Linked DNA regions of Drosophila melanogaster. The protein of the gene in region 4 purifies or fractionates together with the protein of the main gene of each other region. This does not show direct contact. Each region holds a gene or a part of one and is shown on either strand. Other genes may lie near its edges.

What was found.
Region 1: the proteins of Rpn2 (region 4) and Prosbeta4 purify together in Drosophila melanogaster (affinity purification with mass spectrometry, with the first as the bait; one large-scale study listed by BioGRID). This does not show direct contact.
Region 2: the proteins of Rpn2 (region 4) and Pomp purify together in Drosophila melanogaster (affinity purification with mass spectrometry, with the first as the bait; one large-scale study listed by BioGRID). This does not show direct contact.
Region 3: the proteins of Rpn2 (region 4) and CG11885 purify together in Drosophila melanogaster (affinity purification with mass spectrometry, with the first as the bait; one large-scale study listed by BioGRID). This does not show direct contact.

What each region holds. Positions count from the first base shown.
Region 1 is NT_033779.5:16,730,599-16,733,912, reverse strand, and holds Prosbeta4 (proteasome beta4 subunit), read left to right. Parts: upstream 1-1,779; 5' UTR 1,780-1,879; coding exon 1,880-1,970; intron 1,971-2,044; coding exon 2,045-2,270; intron 2,271-2,335; coding exon 2,336-2,624; 3' UTR 2,625-2,733; downstream 2,734-3,314. Other genes in the region: glu (gluon), read left to right, coding at 1-116; Nubp1 (NUBP iron-sulfur cluster assembly factor 1), read right to left, coding at 346-1,281; CG17996 (uncharacterized protein), read left to right, coding at 2,953-3,004, 3,058-3,314.
Region 2 is NT_033779.5:20,785,762-20,789,699, reverse strand, and holds Pomp (pomp), read right to left. Parts: upstream 2,045-3,938; 5' UTR 1,918-2,044; coding exon 1,915-1,917; intron 1,851-1,914; coding exon 1,585-1,850; intron 1,298-1,584; coding exon 1,162-1,297; 3' UTR 602-1,161; downstream 1-601. Other genes in the region: vari (varicose), read left to right, coding at 40-114, 277-453.
Region 3 is NT_033779.5:420,221-423,249, forward strand, and holds CG11885 (uncharacterized protein), read right to left. Parts: upstream 1,231-3,029; 5' UTR 1,147-1,230; coding exon 721-1,146; 3' UTR 675-720; downstream 1-674. Other genes in the region: RpLP1 (ribosomal protein LP1), read left to right, coding at 72-338; CG13692 (uncharacterized protein), read left to right, coding at 1,580-1,968, 2,023-2,215.
Region 4 is NT_033777.3:29,151,394-29,157,808, reverse strand, and holds Rpn2 (regulatory particle non-ATPase 2), read right to left. Parts: upstream 4,286-6,415; 5' UTR 4,201-4,285; exon of another isoform or gene 4,114-4,200; 5' UTR 4,079-4,113; coding exon 3,136-4,078; intron 3,074-3,135; coding exon 1,766-3,073; intron 1,508-1,765; coding exon 696-1,507; coding exon of another isoform or gene 669-695; 3' UTR 554-668; downstream 1-553. Other genes in the region: Slbp (Stem-loop binding protein), read left to right, coding at 4,670-4,825, 4,887-5,561; eIF2D (eukaryotic translation initiation factor 2D), read left to right, coding at 6,120-6,415. UniProt on the Drosophila melanogaster protein: Acts as a regulatory subunit of the 26S proteasome which is involved in the ATP-dependent degradation of ubiquitinated proteins.

The DNA.
Region 1 (3,314 bases), on a different chromosome or scaffold from region 4:
ATCTGAAACAGGCCGCCACTGAGGTTGCTGCTCAACCGTCAGATGCCACGGGAAGAGTAACCACGGATGTGTCCCTAGCAAGCCCGCCATCTTCCCCAGCCATACTTAATGTTTAACTCCAACCTACTTCAATATTGTAGAATGTTTTCTTATCCTGTAAAGGGGCATGTTGTAAACTGCCTGGTAATCTAATTTCTGGTAAAGACCGAGACGTAATTTGATGACCTCAGGTGAATCGGTATTTCCAATTGGTATTATCCTTTCAATGCTTAATAATAAATGTTACATAAAATTGTACAGGCATCTTTTTTTTTATTTAAAAACTGAGTGGTCTTTAACTTATTCTTAACTAAAGCTGGCCATAATCTTTGAGCAAATTCCTTCCAGCGCCTCAGTGGTGACATTCTTAAACTCAGTTAAATCCTCGCCAGAATCGCAGGCTTTGGATATCTGTTGATCCAGAGGCAGGGAGCCCAACAGCGGGATTCCCATTTCGGCGCACATGGCAGCGGCTCCTCCGGTTTTGGCTGGAAAGATTTCGGAGCTATTTCCACAATGGCCGCAACGGAAACTGCTCATATTCTCGATCACGCCCACAATGGGGATATTTTGCTTTTTACAAAAGTTGATCTCCTTGCGCACGTCCAGCAGAGACACCTCCTGTGGAGTGGTCACCATCACGGCGCGCAGGGACTCCGGGTTGGCGTCGTCTTTCAGGTACGAAACCACAGACAGGTGCTCATCGGAAGTTCCAGGTGGTGTGTCCAGTAGCAGGAGATCCAGATTTCCCCAGTCCACCTCGCTCAGAAACTGCCTGATCATGCCATTCTTCTTGGGTCCTCGCCAAATAATGGCATCGTCCACAGAGCCCAGAAGAAATCCGATGGACATCAGACACACGTTGTCTTCGATTCCCACAGGTGACCAGCCGTACCCAGACTGGTGGACACTCTCCCCCAGGGCGCCCATCAAACGCGGTTGCGATGGACCGCAAATGTCGATATCAAGCACGCCGAAGTTACTGTCCGGATTACTTCTGGCCAGATAGCGGGTTAGCAAGCTGGTTACCGTGCTCTTGCCAACGCCGCCTTTCCCGGACAGGATCAGCAGCTTGTGTTTGACATCTTTCATGGATTCGACCACCAAAGCCTTGCCGGGATCTTCGAGTTTCTTGTTGGGATCGCTGCAGAGTCCTTGGTTGGGGCAGCCCGAACAGGCACTTCCCTTGCCCGCCTCCTCGCTCTCGACGCCAGGACAGTGTTCCGGAGGTGGTGCCTGCATGGCTCTTAGTTTCAATAGTTCGAATTCCGTAAACTAATTGTGAAATGAAATGATAACAAGGGAACAGTGTGGCCAAGTTATAACCGGGCACTCAACAAGTGTTGATTAACTGCGATTAAAATTAAAAATAATATATAACTAAGATATTCAATTTTATTAATAATTTAATTTATAATTATAATTTATATAACATAATTTTTATGTATATGTAAATATTCATATTCATATTAAAGGAAACAAAAATGGGTTTATTAAAAATAAAGTTTTTTTTTATTTAGACAAAGTTGAAACATTGAAATAATTTTAATTTTAATTTTAGTAAGCAAGTAAACTTATAAGATTTGAATATCATACCAATTAGGTATAATTGAAAATTAAGTATAATTAAGTTAATTTAAAATGATAAATAATAAATATAAAATAAAATTATAAATATGTGTTAGCTTATATTTATTAGTATCTTTTCAGAATAGCGGTATTTTTAGCCGCCCAGCATACGGCCACTCTGCATTTAACTTGCTTGTCATCGCATTCGGCAACTCACAAACAACTTGTAATTTTCGTTAAAAAACCCCGAAAGTATAAATATAATTGCAACATGGAGACTCTACTGGGTATCAAGGGCCCTGACTTCGTGATGCTGGCGGCGGACACCACCCACGCCCGATCCATTATAGTGATGAAAGAGGGTAAGCCCAAATGGTGCTCATTTTCTTGGCGGCTTGGGACTCATTTCGTTAGTCTCCTTGAATTTCCATTGCAGATCAGAACAAAATCCACAAGGTGTCGGATAGTCTGCTTATTTCAACCGTCGGCGAATCGGGCGACACGGAGCAATTTACCGAATTCATTTCGAAGAACATAGCGTTGTACAAGATGCGCAATGGCTACGATTTAAGTCCACGTGAATCGGCTCATTTTACTCGCAAGAATCTGGCCGAATATCTTCGCAGTCGCACGCCCTACCAAGTGTTCATGTTTGTGGCCGGGTAAGGATCATGAGATCAGTCAATCCATTTGCTTTCCGTGCCTAATCTGTTTCTTCTCCCCAAAGCTACGATCCCAACGCGGGTCCGGAGCTCACCTTCATTGACTATTTGGCCAATGCACTGCCTGTGAATTACGCCGGTCATGGCTATGGTGCGATCTTCGCATCCAGCATCTATGACCGATACTGGCACCCCAATATAACCCAGGCGGAGGCCTACGACGTCTTCAAGAAGTGCATTGCCGAAATCCAGAAGCGCCTGGTCGTCAACCTCAAGAACTTCACCGTCGCCGTCGTGGACAAGGATGGTGTGCGAGATTTGGAGCCAATCAGCGCTGCTAGCCTGGCCGCTTAGTTAGGTTTTGATTTAAGCATTTAAAATGCAGTTTTGTAATAAAATGCGTCTGGATTCTTGGCTAATTTAATACACGAAGGTGGTTTATCGGTTTAAAAAAAAATATATTATTGAATTAGCGATCAGTCGGGCAAATTTTGTGTTCTAGACGATCATTAAGTAATTTCAATATTCAAGAAATCGAATTATAAAATTATATTTTATATCTTAAAAATGAATCTAATTTTAGTATACTCGTGGTATTTTTATATCCCTAGTATTTTTCATCGCACCGGTGGCAGTCACTCTAAAAGTTGTTATACAAAATAAATAGTATTTTTAACACAATATGAGCCTTGAACAACAGCCAGCCGTGGATCCCCACAATCCCCATGGACTGGGTGAGTCCTCAGAATAATCGAATATGACCACCAACTGACACTGCCCTTGCTAGGCGATCCAAATGATACTAGGTTGCGCAAGGTGGAGCGCGAAGTGCTGATACCCAAGATAATGCGCGATCGTGCCAAGACGGAGTTCTGCTCAAAGGAGGTGGCCGACTTCCAGGAGTGCTGCAAGGCCAGCAGTATACTGATGGTGGCCACCTGTCGGAAACAGAACTCAGCCCTGAAGGAATGCCTCACCCAGTGGTATCAGAACGAAGCCTTCAAGGAGGAGTGCAAGCAGATATATCTGCAGGAGCGCGCCGAC
Region 2 (3,938 bases), on a different chromosome or scaffold from region 4:
AGACTAGGCACTCCTCTAATGCGAGCACATATTCCACAGTTTGATCGCCAGAGTTCCATAAGATTCAGCTCCAGACGCGCCCGTACGCTCGAGTCCCTAGCGTCGTTGTATGAGGTAATGTGCCCTGACCTATCCTTAATTACAGTGTCGTATAAATTGTGCTCAACTCAATCATCCGCTTGGCGCACCTAGGCCACCCTAGTAGCCCTGTTAGATCTCTGCCTGAATACCCAAACATTGCTTAACACATTCGCTTTCTATGACTTTTCCGAACAGGACGACGACCTTGTCGCCACCGTCGAGGAGAGCAGCTTCGTCCAGCGCAAGTATGAGAAATACTTCGACATGGTCATCGTGAACGAGGACTTCGATGAGACGTTCCGCCAGGTGGTGGAAACGCTGGATCAGATGAGCCACGAGGAGCAGTGGGTGCCTGTCAACTGGATCTACTAGAATCCCATGACCCTTTGCAATTGCGCCTTTATGCATATTGAAGAATATATACTATAAAAATCGAATGCCTATCATCACAATTAAAGGGATAATTCCAGTAATTGAAGCTTAAACTCGCAACACAATACAAATTTAGCGAAGAGCATTTAAAACGCTAGCGATTTCAATATTTATTGTTGATTAGACGTGTTTTGCTTGAGGAATGTAATGCGTTTTATTAACTATGTTTATCTCAATTACTGTCATTTTCCTCTTTAAATATAAATCATGTATATATGCAATGTTTGTATAAGTTGAAATGCGCCCTCCGTTTACAATTCAGTTTTCCTTAAGTATAAGCCTAATTTTACGAAACGAATTCGTCCATTTTACCATCTCTTGTTTTATTTTTACAAATAATGAATGATGTCAACGCATATCTCTTCAGTTTATTATTTTAACGAATCTCCTCAGTACAACAACCTTCTGCCAATATTTTCGTGTAGTTTTTAGATTTGTTTGAATAAAATGTGTAAGTTTAACGAACTAGTTAAATGTATTGATGTGGAGTTAAACAAACGAAATACGAATAAATTTGGCTCAAAGAAATGGTGAATTTTGTTTACCTCTAGCTGGTCGCACCAAAATATATTTTATTTGCTGATCTTAAGAGTGTCTTAGAGTTTAAAGGCTGAATGCCAGGCATTTAGCAACTTCATTTGCAGGGACTTATTGGTAAATTCCCAGAGATTTCTCCACCACAGCGTGGGGCTGACGCATATGCTCGCTGTTCTCGGGCAAGTTCATGAAGTCCTCGAAGCCAATGGAATCACAGCGGCCAGTCAGGACATCGTCCATGAAGTTGCTGCAATATAAAGGAAAGAATTAATATAGAAGATAAGTAGTCATTGCTGGGTTTTCGGTAATAATGGTACTATGGGAATCACAGGTATACTTGGTATACACGTATGTATGTATGTACGTATATAGGTATCCATTATTAGGCAAGAAGTTTAGATTTTCTAGATTGTAGGATATCTCAGGTTTCTCCGGGATTCTTATAATGTGGAAACAGAAGATTTCTGAATGCTTCCGCCCTTGCAGAGATTCCTGTCCAGACTGAGAAGCTCCCAGACCGGGCTAGATGCTCACCTGGACGAAAGGAAGGGCAGGCGGCCCACCTGACGTGCGGCGAAGCGCTCCATGCCCATCTTGAGGGGCACGCCGAGGCCCTCGTGGTTGCGCAGCATCTGCATGTTGCGGTTGTACTGGTGCTCGTTGTAGTTCAGCTCCGAGTCGCGCAGCCGGTGGACGTGGGCCAGTTGGTTCAGGCAGTTGGCCTCGGTGGGCATTCCCACACGGCCGGTGGCGTTCAGCACGGACACCTCGGCGGGCTGGACTTTCAGTGATGGCTGATACTGTATTGCGAGGGGTTTTCGTTTCGTTAGCGGCTCTACTAAATGCACTCGGCGAGGTACTTACCATATTCGTAAGCGCTTTTAGAATAAAAATGCGGCGAATTATAATTGTTTCTTGAATGACAAACAAATTCCGTGCGAATTAGAGCTGGTACTTGTGTCGATGCCTACTCGATATCGACGATAATTGACAAGATAATCGAATAGAAAGCAACTTATCGACTAGAATAGAATCCAGTAGTGTAGAAACCAGACTGGCAACTCTTTACATGTGTAGAAATCAGGATGGCAGCTCCAGACAATGCTAACATGGATTCAATCCATTTTGACCCACATAAATTTTAGCTCGGTTTCAAACCATTGCAGGGTACAAAAATGCGGCATGTCCGACAAGTGAATTTCGATTTGAAATTATGAACTCCAAATTTTCCAATCCAATTTGATTATTTAAACAAAATATTTCTATATATATAGCAACAACGCAGCACTATTTGAAATACACTTTAATTGTAATCGTGTTGATGGGTAAAAGTCGGTCTATGCAAATTGGCGTTATTAGCGCACTTAACACTTCGGTCAAGTGACGAACTTGAGTGTTGTGATTAATTACACCCTCGCTGGCCAGCAACGCACATCCGAAATATACAAACGTATCGATCTCGGCCGCAGCTCTAATCAATTCGATCAACAAAAGAACTGAATCCGCTGGCTGGCTGGCCGGGGTTTTGTTTTTCTTTTCACCCACACCTTTTAGCGGCTTTTATGATCTTCTGCTCCACAGAGACGCGATTCATTTGCATCGAGTGACAAACGCGAACGAATGCGAATGCGAGGAGACCAAATCACACGACAGGGCTTAATTAGTGCATGGTCACTAATAAAGATTCGGCCAGTGGATGTTGTGTTAATCAAACTCCCGCACACAATAGCCCAAACTGTCTCCGGCCAACCGATCCGATCCTATCCAATCTGAACTTGAAAATCCAAATGGAAACATCAACCGGATGGATGGATCTTCACCTTCACTTTAGACTAAAAGGTAGTACGTAAATTATGATTTATGCCCATTTACTGAATTTTACAGTGCGAAAAAAGCGAACTACATTCCTGCTTTGTAATTTACAACTTTAATCATTTTAATATTGGTATGGATGAGCATTGCAATACAAAGTCAAATAGTTTATAGCATGTATAGCTATAGTATTGATACAAAAACGTATTAGATAATTTAAAAGATCAGCCCTATTTTTAATGAATGAATTCTATATTAAGAAACTGACAAAATGATAAGTAAATTTAATCAGCAGACAATTCGAGAATTTACAATAAGAATATCGCAACGGGCATATTTATGGCGTCGAGTTGATAAAAATATCGTTAGTTTTTATTACTTTGAGATGCGATTCTTTCGGATGCAACTTATGGTGATTTAATCTATAAGTCTATAAATAAATTAAGTTAGAATAAACACAAATTACTCGCATCGATTTTAGCTTACTAGCATCGTTCCTTTGACTTATTTGTTAATACAATCATTTCAGTTCCCTGTGAATTTTGCCGCTTGAAGAGTTCAAAAGAACTCATACCACGATTGATTTATAACGTTTACTTTCTGTTTTACTGCCTTTGACCAATTAATACACAGTAGACCAGTACGAGGCGAATCAACCAATTCAGTCAGTCCAATATATGGCCATAAGGATGGCCAAGAGCCAACTATGTATGGTCGAATGGAGATGGAGATCTCAGGGCGAGAAGATCGATATGTAAAAGTCAAATAAAAATATAACGTCGAGAATTAACATTTTTTCACAGCAATAAATGCATAAAAGTCGAAGATGTGTATTCAAAAAAGAGAAGAGTCGTGGGTTCAACTAGGGGACTCTTCAGATGAGGGAATTCCTTTTAAAACAGCTTGATTGGGCTGATATTTCTCTTCTATTTTATACGCACTCAGAGAAATTAATGGGTAAAAGCAAGAGATTCCAAAAGATGATCAATAGATGATTTCTTTAAATTGAAGTACAAAATAAAAGGATGTTTCTTCAGCTTTTCAAGAGTTATTTAAAGGCATCCGAGGGCACGATT
Region 3 (3,029 bases), on a different chromosome or scaffold from region 4:
CAATTTGCGGGTCCTATGGTTTCTTTCGCACTGCTGCAACTTGTGCTGATCTTATTTTTTGGATTCACCAGGGTGAGAAGATCAACACCATCCTGAAGGCCGCCAACGTCGAGGTGGAGCCCTACTGGCCCGGTCTCTTCGCCAAGGCCCTGGAGGGCATCAACGTCAAGGACCTGATCACCAACATCGGATCCGGAGTTGGTGCCGCTCCCGCCGGTGGTGCTGCCCCTGCTGCCGCCGCCGCTGCTCCAGCCGCCGAGTCCAAGAAGGAGGAGAAGAAGAAGGAGGAGGAGTCCGACCAGTCTGACGACGACATGGGCTTCGGTCTGTTCGACTAAATCCTCTAGAGAACTTCTCGACAACCGGACATCCGTTGTGTTTGTGCTGTAATCCTCGAGAGGTGGACGTGTACCCGTTTCCCGACCTGCGTACACGTTTTTAATGTACAAATGTGAGGAAATATAGAAGACGTTTGCTAAAAAATTATCGAGACTCATTCCTTTCACAACGGTGCAGAATTATTATGGTTTACTATGTTATTGGTCATTCCACTGCCTTTTTGTGAGTAGATTCTATTTTGGGTTTTTAAGCACATGAAAGAGGTTGCAGTAGAATGGCCAATAATTTGGTCAGCCGGGTTGAAGGCTACGATTAAAATGTTCAAGGTTTTTTTTACAAAAACTGTCACAGCTAATATTTATTGGATATAACGAACGCAGACTAGAATAACGTCTCCTCGAGGACCTTAGCTAGGGCACGAAGATTGGGTCCGTCGATTTTCTTGAGACCCAAGCCCACCACGAACTCCGTCGGGCACTTGTGGAGTCCGGTTCTGTTGACCAGAAACTGTATGGCGCTGCGAGTCTCGTCGGTGTCCAAGCCCAAGCAGCAGTTCATCGTGATTGGCACCGATACGTGGAACTCCGGATTGTCCACGGGTCCGTGCAAATAGGGAACCACTCTTTCGTCCTTTTTGACATCGAAGTGCACGTTGTAGATGCCGGGAATCTTGCCGAGCTGCGTTATGACTAAGAACCACTTCTTGGCAAAGCAGTGGAACACTATCTCCGTGGGAACGCCGTTCACGTCCGCTGAGAACTGCCTGTCGAATCCGATTTGTCGAGGTTTGTTTGCTGTGTGGTTCATTTTTTGAGAGAATTTAAAAGCGTTTAACAATGTTGATATTGTTTACGATGAGACAGCATGAAAAAACGATGAAAAATACATCGATGTTTTATCGATAGTCATTATGCATTGATGTGCTAATATGAAGTGTGGCCGAATGGTTCCGAGTTTCGTGACTCCCGAAGCACGCAGTTCAAACGTTTGCACTGATTTCCTGAGAGCGCCATCATGCAGAAAATAATTGAACTACTGACACAAGATTTCGATTACGCGATTGATATTAAATGTTCAACCATTTGTAAATATTTTATATATAAAATAAGCCAGAAATAACAACATGTACGTGCTTACTGAACTAACTTTTACAATTTTAATTTAATTAATTAATTAATAAACTTTGGTAACCAAGGCTACCTTTGTTAGATCCATAAATAAAATCCAAGTAAAAGCAAAAATGTCCACCTGCATTTGCTTGGGCCCCAAAAGAGCGGGCAAAACGCACCTTTTGAAAGCTTTACAGGATCCGGAATCCATCGATGAGACCACGTTTTCCATGCCCACCATTGGCACTGGGATTTACCGAATCCATTTCCCAACAAAATCGCCAAATGGGGATAAAAATAAGCCTCCTCCCTCAGAAGCTCCAGCTAACATTCCTCATGGCGGTAAAAATCTGCCCAAGTCCATACAGATCCTGGAAATTGGAGGGAGTATGGCCCCCTTGTGGAGGCAGTATTTCGAGGATGTCAAGAAGCTGATCTACGTCGTGGACACCTCTAATCTCTGTCAGATTTCAGCCGCCGGCGTTCTTTTCTATTCAATCCTCACCGAGCCGCGTCTGCAGTAAGTAAGGTGGAAATGAACTGAAAGCTCATGCACTAGTTAAATTCGTCGCAGGCATAATACTAAGATCCTGTTGGTACTGGCCAAAATGGATTACTCCTACCGCCAGATGCGAAACGAGGCTCTGCTCATGCTGCAGATGCAGAAGTTGCAAAAACAGATCCGCCAGCAGGTGACCATCGTGGAGGCCAGCGCCGTCACCAAAGTGGGCTTAGACCCCATCTACGATTGGCTGCAGAGACCCTAAATAATAAAATATCATAGAAATTAGTGTGTCACTCACATTAATGATACACCAGTGAAAATATTAAACTCTATTCCGATGCATTTTTATGTGGCTTTAGTTAATAAAATTAAACGTGAACACTGCCTAATCTATCAGATAGAAGTTAATATCTAGATTAAGACCTAAACTTCCCAAAAAGCAGAAAGCAGAGGAGATGCAGATGCATCCCGGAAGACAAACCAAGAAACAAGTTGGTTATATTAAGCTCAAATTAACATTAAAAATTTAGGTAGATTTACAGAGAGGTATAGTCAGGGTGTCCCAACAGGGTGACTCCCCAGGGACCGGAACAGGCGCACTGCAAAGTAATTAATGTTTTGGCCGACCAGGTATCCATGGTAATCGCCTCGTACCCCGAACCTAACCAATTCAAACTATACCGGAAGACCCTTTCCATATGGCGAGTATACACCTATACCTGCTAGAGGCCAGTCAGTCGATACCAGCAACCGCAGCAGCGGAGGAATCTACAAATTAGGTCCCGTGCAAAAGAGGTAGGCGGGAAGTACAAATTATGGGCATAGAAAAATTAGATGGCATGGAGACGAGCCAAGAACTAAGACCAGATTCGAACCCAGAGGAGTCCAGAGGAGCGGAGGAGGGAGATGAACCGCAGGAAGCAGCAGCCGCATTCCTGATGCCCCTGGATTTTCGGGCTTGGAGGGGCAGAGGAATGACACGCATCCGGTTTTAAAATTCCAGTGATCGAAGCGCAGCAGAAGAGCCCGAAAAAAGGAACTCAGCCGAGGAATTCAAACACTTGAATCGGACACAG
Region 4 (6,415 bases):
CGCACCGTTGAAGTGCACTTGCTTTTCAGTGCTTGTCCACGGATAATAACAGTGATTTATATAGTGTTTGTATTTGTCCCTTCTTTGCAACGAAAGTGGTTGGAACCAGCCATAAAAGTTATAAACATATTGATCATTTACTTGTTGAATAATTGTTTGCAAATATCAAGTTCCCTTGGCAACGCACATGGGCATTTAGCTTAAAAACATATGATTTCCAAAGATCATTTTTTAACTGCATATACGATCATATGCTTATATTTATAATAATTGAATACCAACCCGATTCGATTGCAATTAACCATCTTAAAATCCAAACATAAGTTTACCTTGAGGCCACGGTGCACCAATCCCCTTTAAAAAACGGCCATGGTAGAGAGCGCTTCTACAAATTCAGAGAGACTGTGGGCAATTGCCGAGCGTTGTGAAATCACTTATTTATGTTTGAGAGGCGGATCTTTCGGCGGGTGGCGAAACAATCTTCTTGATCGAGTTCTAAGGAGATAAAAAATAGGTTGGCGACTACCACCATAAACCAAAGTAGACATTATTTACATCTAATATGATGACCATTTATTGTGTTATAATTAGGGATTAGCATTTCGTGTTCTTGCCGATTAGTTGTTCTCATGAAACGTAAGCAAGGTTGAAAATCGAACAGGATTCACTTAGATAATGACAAACAGCATGCCCATTTAGTCCTCGATGTACTCAAAGGGCTCTGGGGGCTCCGGCTCCTTTTCCTCGTCGTTCATCGGTCCAAATGCGGCAACTGGCTCAACGAGCTCCTGGTCCTCTGCTTTGCCAGTGTGCTGGAATACAATAATTCCACCGATAGTGACATCCTTCAGCGGCTCATACGACTGGCCATCAATAACGCTAAGGACCTTCAGTTGCTGGCGAAGAACGCGGGCGGGATTCTGCAGGATTTCGGAGGTCGGCTCTGGCTCCTTCTTCTCCTTCTTGTCCTTCTCCTTATCCTTATCCTTTTCGCTGCTGGTGCCAGCTGCCTCCTTTTCCTTATCCTCTTCCTTTTTCTTTTCCTTCTCATCCTTCTTCTTGGGTTTCTCATCCGTTACCATCTTCTCATCGGCCTTGGCTTCTTCGTCCTTCTTGACAGCAGCACCCTCCTTGCTGTCCTCGTCCACATCCATCTTCTCATCCTCTTTTTTGTCGGCATTCTCGCGTCTCTTCTGGCGGGCGGCAATGGACAGAACTGCGGTGGCCACCTTCTCGCGCTCCTCGCTCTTCTTCTCCTCCAGTGGGGCGGGATATGCGTATAACGAGGGCTTGGCCGCCGACTTGTACTCCATCTTGGGCATTTTCAGATCGGAGTTCAGGCCGATCACACAGGTGGGTGTGAAGGCAAGGGAAAGGGTGTGGGCCAGGGGGAACCAGTACCAGTACTGGGTGAAAGCCAGCATGCCCACCACTGCCTGCAGGTTGGTGTGTCCTGTACGGGACTGCAGGGACAGAGTAGCGTTTCGGCCACCAGCATCAATAATACCTGGAAATAGTCAATGCCTAATTAGAAAGATCTGGAAAGGACGATTACTAATTATAAATCAATTCCTACAAAAATACCTATAGTCGTTCGCTTAGTTAAAAATGGAATATTTATAATTTTGAGTATCTACTAATCTTATCTCGAAGCTTGGCGGGAAAACTACGGAAACCAATGTTTAATAGATGCAAATTAACAAACTAATTAGCTTTTCAATATAATTGCATAAATAACGAAAAGGGATCGTGTTATATTGCTTACCCTGAGCCAAAATGGCACCGTACTTCGCCATCACATCTTCGTGCTTGTTGCTAATGACCTCGGCGTACAGCTGACGGAAGAAGGTGGACTTGGGACAGCTCTGGTCCGTGTGCTGAATCAGGATCATGGCAGAGGCGATCAAAGCTCCCTGGCGCACAAAGTTGACCGGATCGAACTTCACCATTGGCTCCAGCAGGGCAATGGCCTCACGCAAACCTGTGCCGGCACAGGCGATACCAAGAGCCATTGCGGCTCCGTAACGAACGTGCGGGTTGTAGGACTCTGCCAGAAGGCTGACCACAGAGGGACACTGCTCCGGAGAGCGGAACAGGATGAAGCCGATGGCTGTCACAGCAGCACGTCGCACATCATCATTTACGTCGGAGACGGCCACGTGTAGCAGCTTGCGGATGGCCTTGTTGCTACCAGTACCATTGTAGGCCATAGCTATGGTGTACATTCCCGAGCGGCGCAACACAGGATCCTTGTCGGAAGACAGGCTGGTCACCAGGGGGTCGGCCTCCTCCAAACGAGAGAACATTGTGAGGGAGATGCCCACGGCTAGGCCGCGTAGGATCTTCTCGTGCTGCGTCTCCTGCGCATACGACACCATGTCCTCGATGGCCTGGGCGTTCTTGGAGCCCAGCATGACCATACCCATGGCAATGCCCGCCGCCTCTCCGGTAACCGCGTCATCCTGATACAAATTAAACTTCAGCTGCTCATACAGATCCTGGCGATGGGTGCCCATGCCAGCGAGACCTAGTCCCAGGCAGCCGCCATGACGCACATTCTCGTTTTGGGCATCCTTCAGCTGTTGCAGCAGGTAGTCTATAATGTTAGCTCCGTGATTCGCATGGATCAAGCCCAAAGCATAAAGGGCACCACCCTCAGAGTAACCAGAACTTGGACCGGCCTCCTTTGGCAGATAGCTCTGCATGAGAGCCAGGGAATCCTTCTCGTGACCCCGATGAATTACTCCAAGCGAAGCGGTTGCCGTCAGCTTGGCCCAATTCGTGGCCCTGGCCAGCCAGTCGAGGTTGTCGCGCAGGAATTGGTCGGAGGTGGTGCCGCTGTGCATGAAGGCGTTGGCAATAACAGTGGCTGTGTGGCAGATAGACACGCGGACCGCTTCCTTTGTGCCTCGAAGGACCTGCAAATCGGCGTGGTTGCTGCGGATGAGGAATTGGAGCTGTAGGTCGATGGAAACCTCGCCGGAGAGGATCGATATGAGCTTTTCAATGTTCTTCTGATGCAACTTTTCAACCTCGTTAAGGGAATCGATTGTGCGCTCTACTTTATCATCAGCTAGGTGAATAAAATGCGATTTATAAGTATTTTAAGGGACTGGATTAGAAAACCGGGTTTACCTGGCGTCTCCTCTGTGATATCCTCGTCAGACTTGGACTTGTCTCCCTCCGACTTGGCACCATCCTCGGAGGTGGTACCCTGGGGCTTAAATGTGCTGGGGAGGGCGGTTGGGATAGGAGCGGTGTTTTTGAGGTGCTGCAGCACATTGCCCAGAAACTCTTGCGTGGCCGACTCGTACAAATCAAAGGCAATCTGATAGGCCATCAGATTGTTTGTCTCCACCGAGGACCGTGTGAGGTTGTCCAGCATCTCGGCTACGGCGAAGGGGTCCTCCAGGAAGATGAGGCACTGACACATATTCACGTAGTCCGGCACACCCAGATCACGGTACAGACTGACCAGACAGCGCAGCACCTCATTGCGGAAGCCACGGTTCTGGATGAGGGACATGGTCACGTTGTAGGCGTAGGCCAGCATGCCACGCACATCGTCCGACTTCATGATAGCGTCCTTGAAGGTGTCCATGCGACGGGTCTCCAGAGCGATGCCCAGAGCCTGGCGGAACTGGTTGTCGTCCAGACAGCGCTGAATCATCCTGTTCACAATGCCCTCCAGCCGCTCGTCCACGACACTCGCCTCCTTAGGGTTCTCGATGAACTCCACCCGCTGGGCAATGTAGAAGTCGATGCACTTGGCAATGATGGTCTCCGTGTACTCATTGCGGGCATTCACGTCGAACAGATCACCAGCGCCCAGGGCGTACGTCAGAGCGTCCTCGAAGGAGCCCAGGTGATAGAACACCTTGGAGGCCACCATGCCAGCTAGCTTGTTTTCGGGGAAGCTGCGATCCTCGTGCAGCATCTCGATCTTCTCGATGGACTCCGAGATCTCCGGCCAGAACTCATCCACGATGTTGTCCAGCTTTTTGAGGGCGAACACCTTAAGATCCGGCATTGGCTCATCGAGTAGGGAAATTATCCCCGCGGCGGACGTAAGACTCATTTTCCAGCTGCGTTGTTTCCAGTCAAAAATATGTTCTACGGATTTTAAAGTGACGTATGTTCAACTTGGGCTCGAAAACTTTACGTTTGCTATGAAAACAAATCGTTCTTTTGCGTACTAACCAACAATTGCACCGTTTTAATTTTCAGTTTTCTTTTGTGCCGAAAAAATGCTAAATCACTCGGTAAGCAGACAGTGTTGGTAATGGTTGGTTGCTCGATGTCTTGCTATCGATGTGTACCGATGCATCGATATTGTTTGAGCCTCCCTCAGACAATTTAAAAATCGCTGTTAATTTTCTGTATGTTTAAATATGTATTGGACATCAAATTTTAACAAAATTGAAATGAAATGTAATACATTTGGAGCATAGTTTGAAATTAGTTGTGAGTGACCAGGTTGTTCTGTGTTGTGGTACCTTTTTGCCGCCTTCTTACCACCTCCACTTCTGGGCACACTGAGCATCGCATCTACAACAAAAAACGCGCGAAGGTTTGCGCAGAAAACGCAAAACACCGCCGCGACAACATCCTGGAGCAGCGGACCGCATCATACACAGCACAGTAAACAAACGAAAGATAATTGCACAACATGCTCTGCGAGGATCAGCACATGTCCGTGGAGAACACACCGCAGAAAGGCTCCGGCAGCCTGAATTCCTCAGCATCCTCCATTTCGATCGATGTGAAGCCCACCATGCAGAGCTGGGCCCAGGAGGTCCGCGCGGAGTTTGGCCACAGTGACGAGGTAAGTGAAGGTTGGCTGCTACGATCGGGAACACAATTAATTCTCTTGTTTGCACGTGCAGGCCTCCAGTTCCTTGAATAGCAGCGCTGCCAGCTGCGGTTCCTTGGCCAAAAAGGAGACAGCCGACGGTAATCTGGAGTCCAAAGATGGCGAGGGCCGGGAGATGGCATTTGAGTTCCTGGATGGCGTCAACGAGGTAAAGTTCGAGCGCCTGGTCAAGGAGGAGAAGCTAAAAACGCCCTACAAGCGCCGACACTCGTTCACGCCGCCCAGCAACGAGAACAGTCGCTCCAACAGTCCAAACAGCAGCAACTCCTCGGCCAACGGAGATGCAGCTGCGCCCAAAGGCGGCAACAATCCCCATTCGAGGAACTCAAAAAAGTCTGGCAACTTCCGCGCCCACAAGGAGGAGAAACGGGTGCGCCACAACAGCTACACGTCCTCCACCTCATCGTCATCCTCCTACACCGAAGCCGATCCCGCCATCCTAAGTCGCAGGCAGAAGCAAATAGATTACGGAAAGAATACTGCCGCCTACGAGCGCTATGTGGAAATGGTGCCAAAGGACGAGCGGACTCGCGATCATCCGCGCACCCCGAACAAGTATGGAAAGTACAGCCGCCGCGCCTTCGATGGGCTCGTGAAGATCTGGCGCAAAAGCCTCCACATCTATGATCCACCTACACAAGCGCGCGACACGGCCAAGGACAGTAATTCCGACTCGGATTCTGACTAGGATCGAATCTTGTTACCGGGCCGGGCTATGTTTTTCAAATATCGGGGGTTTAACTACTAATTTTTATTTCAAGTACAAAGTTAAAACTATGAATCAAACACGCATCTTCGAGTCACAAGGCCGTGTACGGGGAATTGTTACGCAGATGTTTTGTTGAATAAAATGGCGTCTTACAAGATCCTGGGTTTTCTGTCGTTTGCTACCTGAGGAAGTCCTTGGTGATTCGAAATTTTCCGGACCGCCGGCATTTTTACTGCGCGTGCTGTCCTTGTAATAACGTCTGCTCTTAACTAATTTTGATTTAGGGTAGAGTTATTGTGAAAAGAAAAGACAGGACTCACTTCTTTATTTTATGTTAATTTCTTTTTCTGCATCTTATTCTTATGTTTCTTATACTTGGTTTTAGAATATCGAATCCCATTGATATTTTTTTAAATATACAAACTGGCGAGAAAATAGCTAAAGCAGCACCCCCGTTTGCCAGTTGTTTGTTTTCACTGTGCATGTGCCACTCCAAACCATTTCACGAACTCCTCAAGTGCACACCACCAAACACAGATGTTTCTCAAGCCGTACAGACCCAAGAGCAGTGCTGCCCTCAAGGGATCCGATAGCAAGAAGTTCCGGCAGCGCGTGGAGGCGGCGTTCCCCCATGTGTCCGTGGATCAGCTGGTGCCGGCGAAGGCGGCGGTGACCCAGGTGAAGATCCTAACGCACGGCGGTGTTCAGAGCATGGTCTACTGCGTGGACAAGTTGCCTTTGTTCTTCGAGCTGGACGGCGGTCAACTTGTGCCCACCCTGTACACCCTGTGGATCGTTCCGGACATCCTGCCCTATTTCACCACCCACGAGGG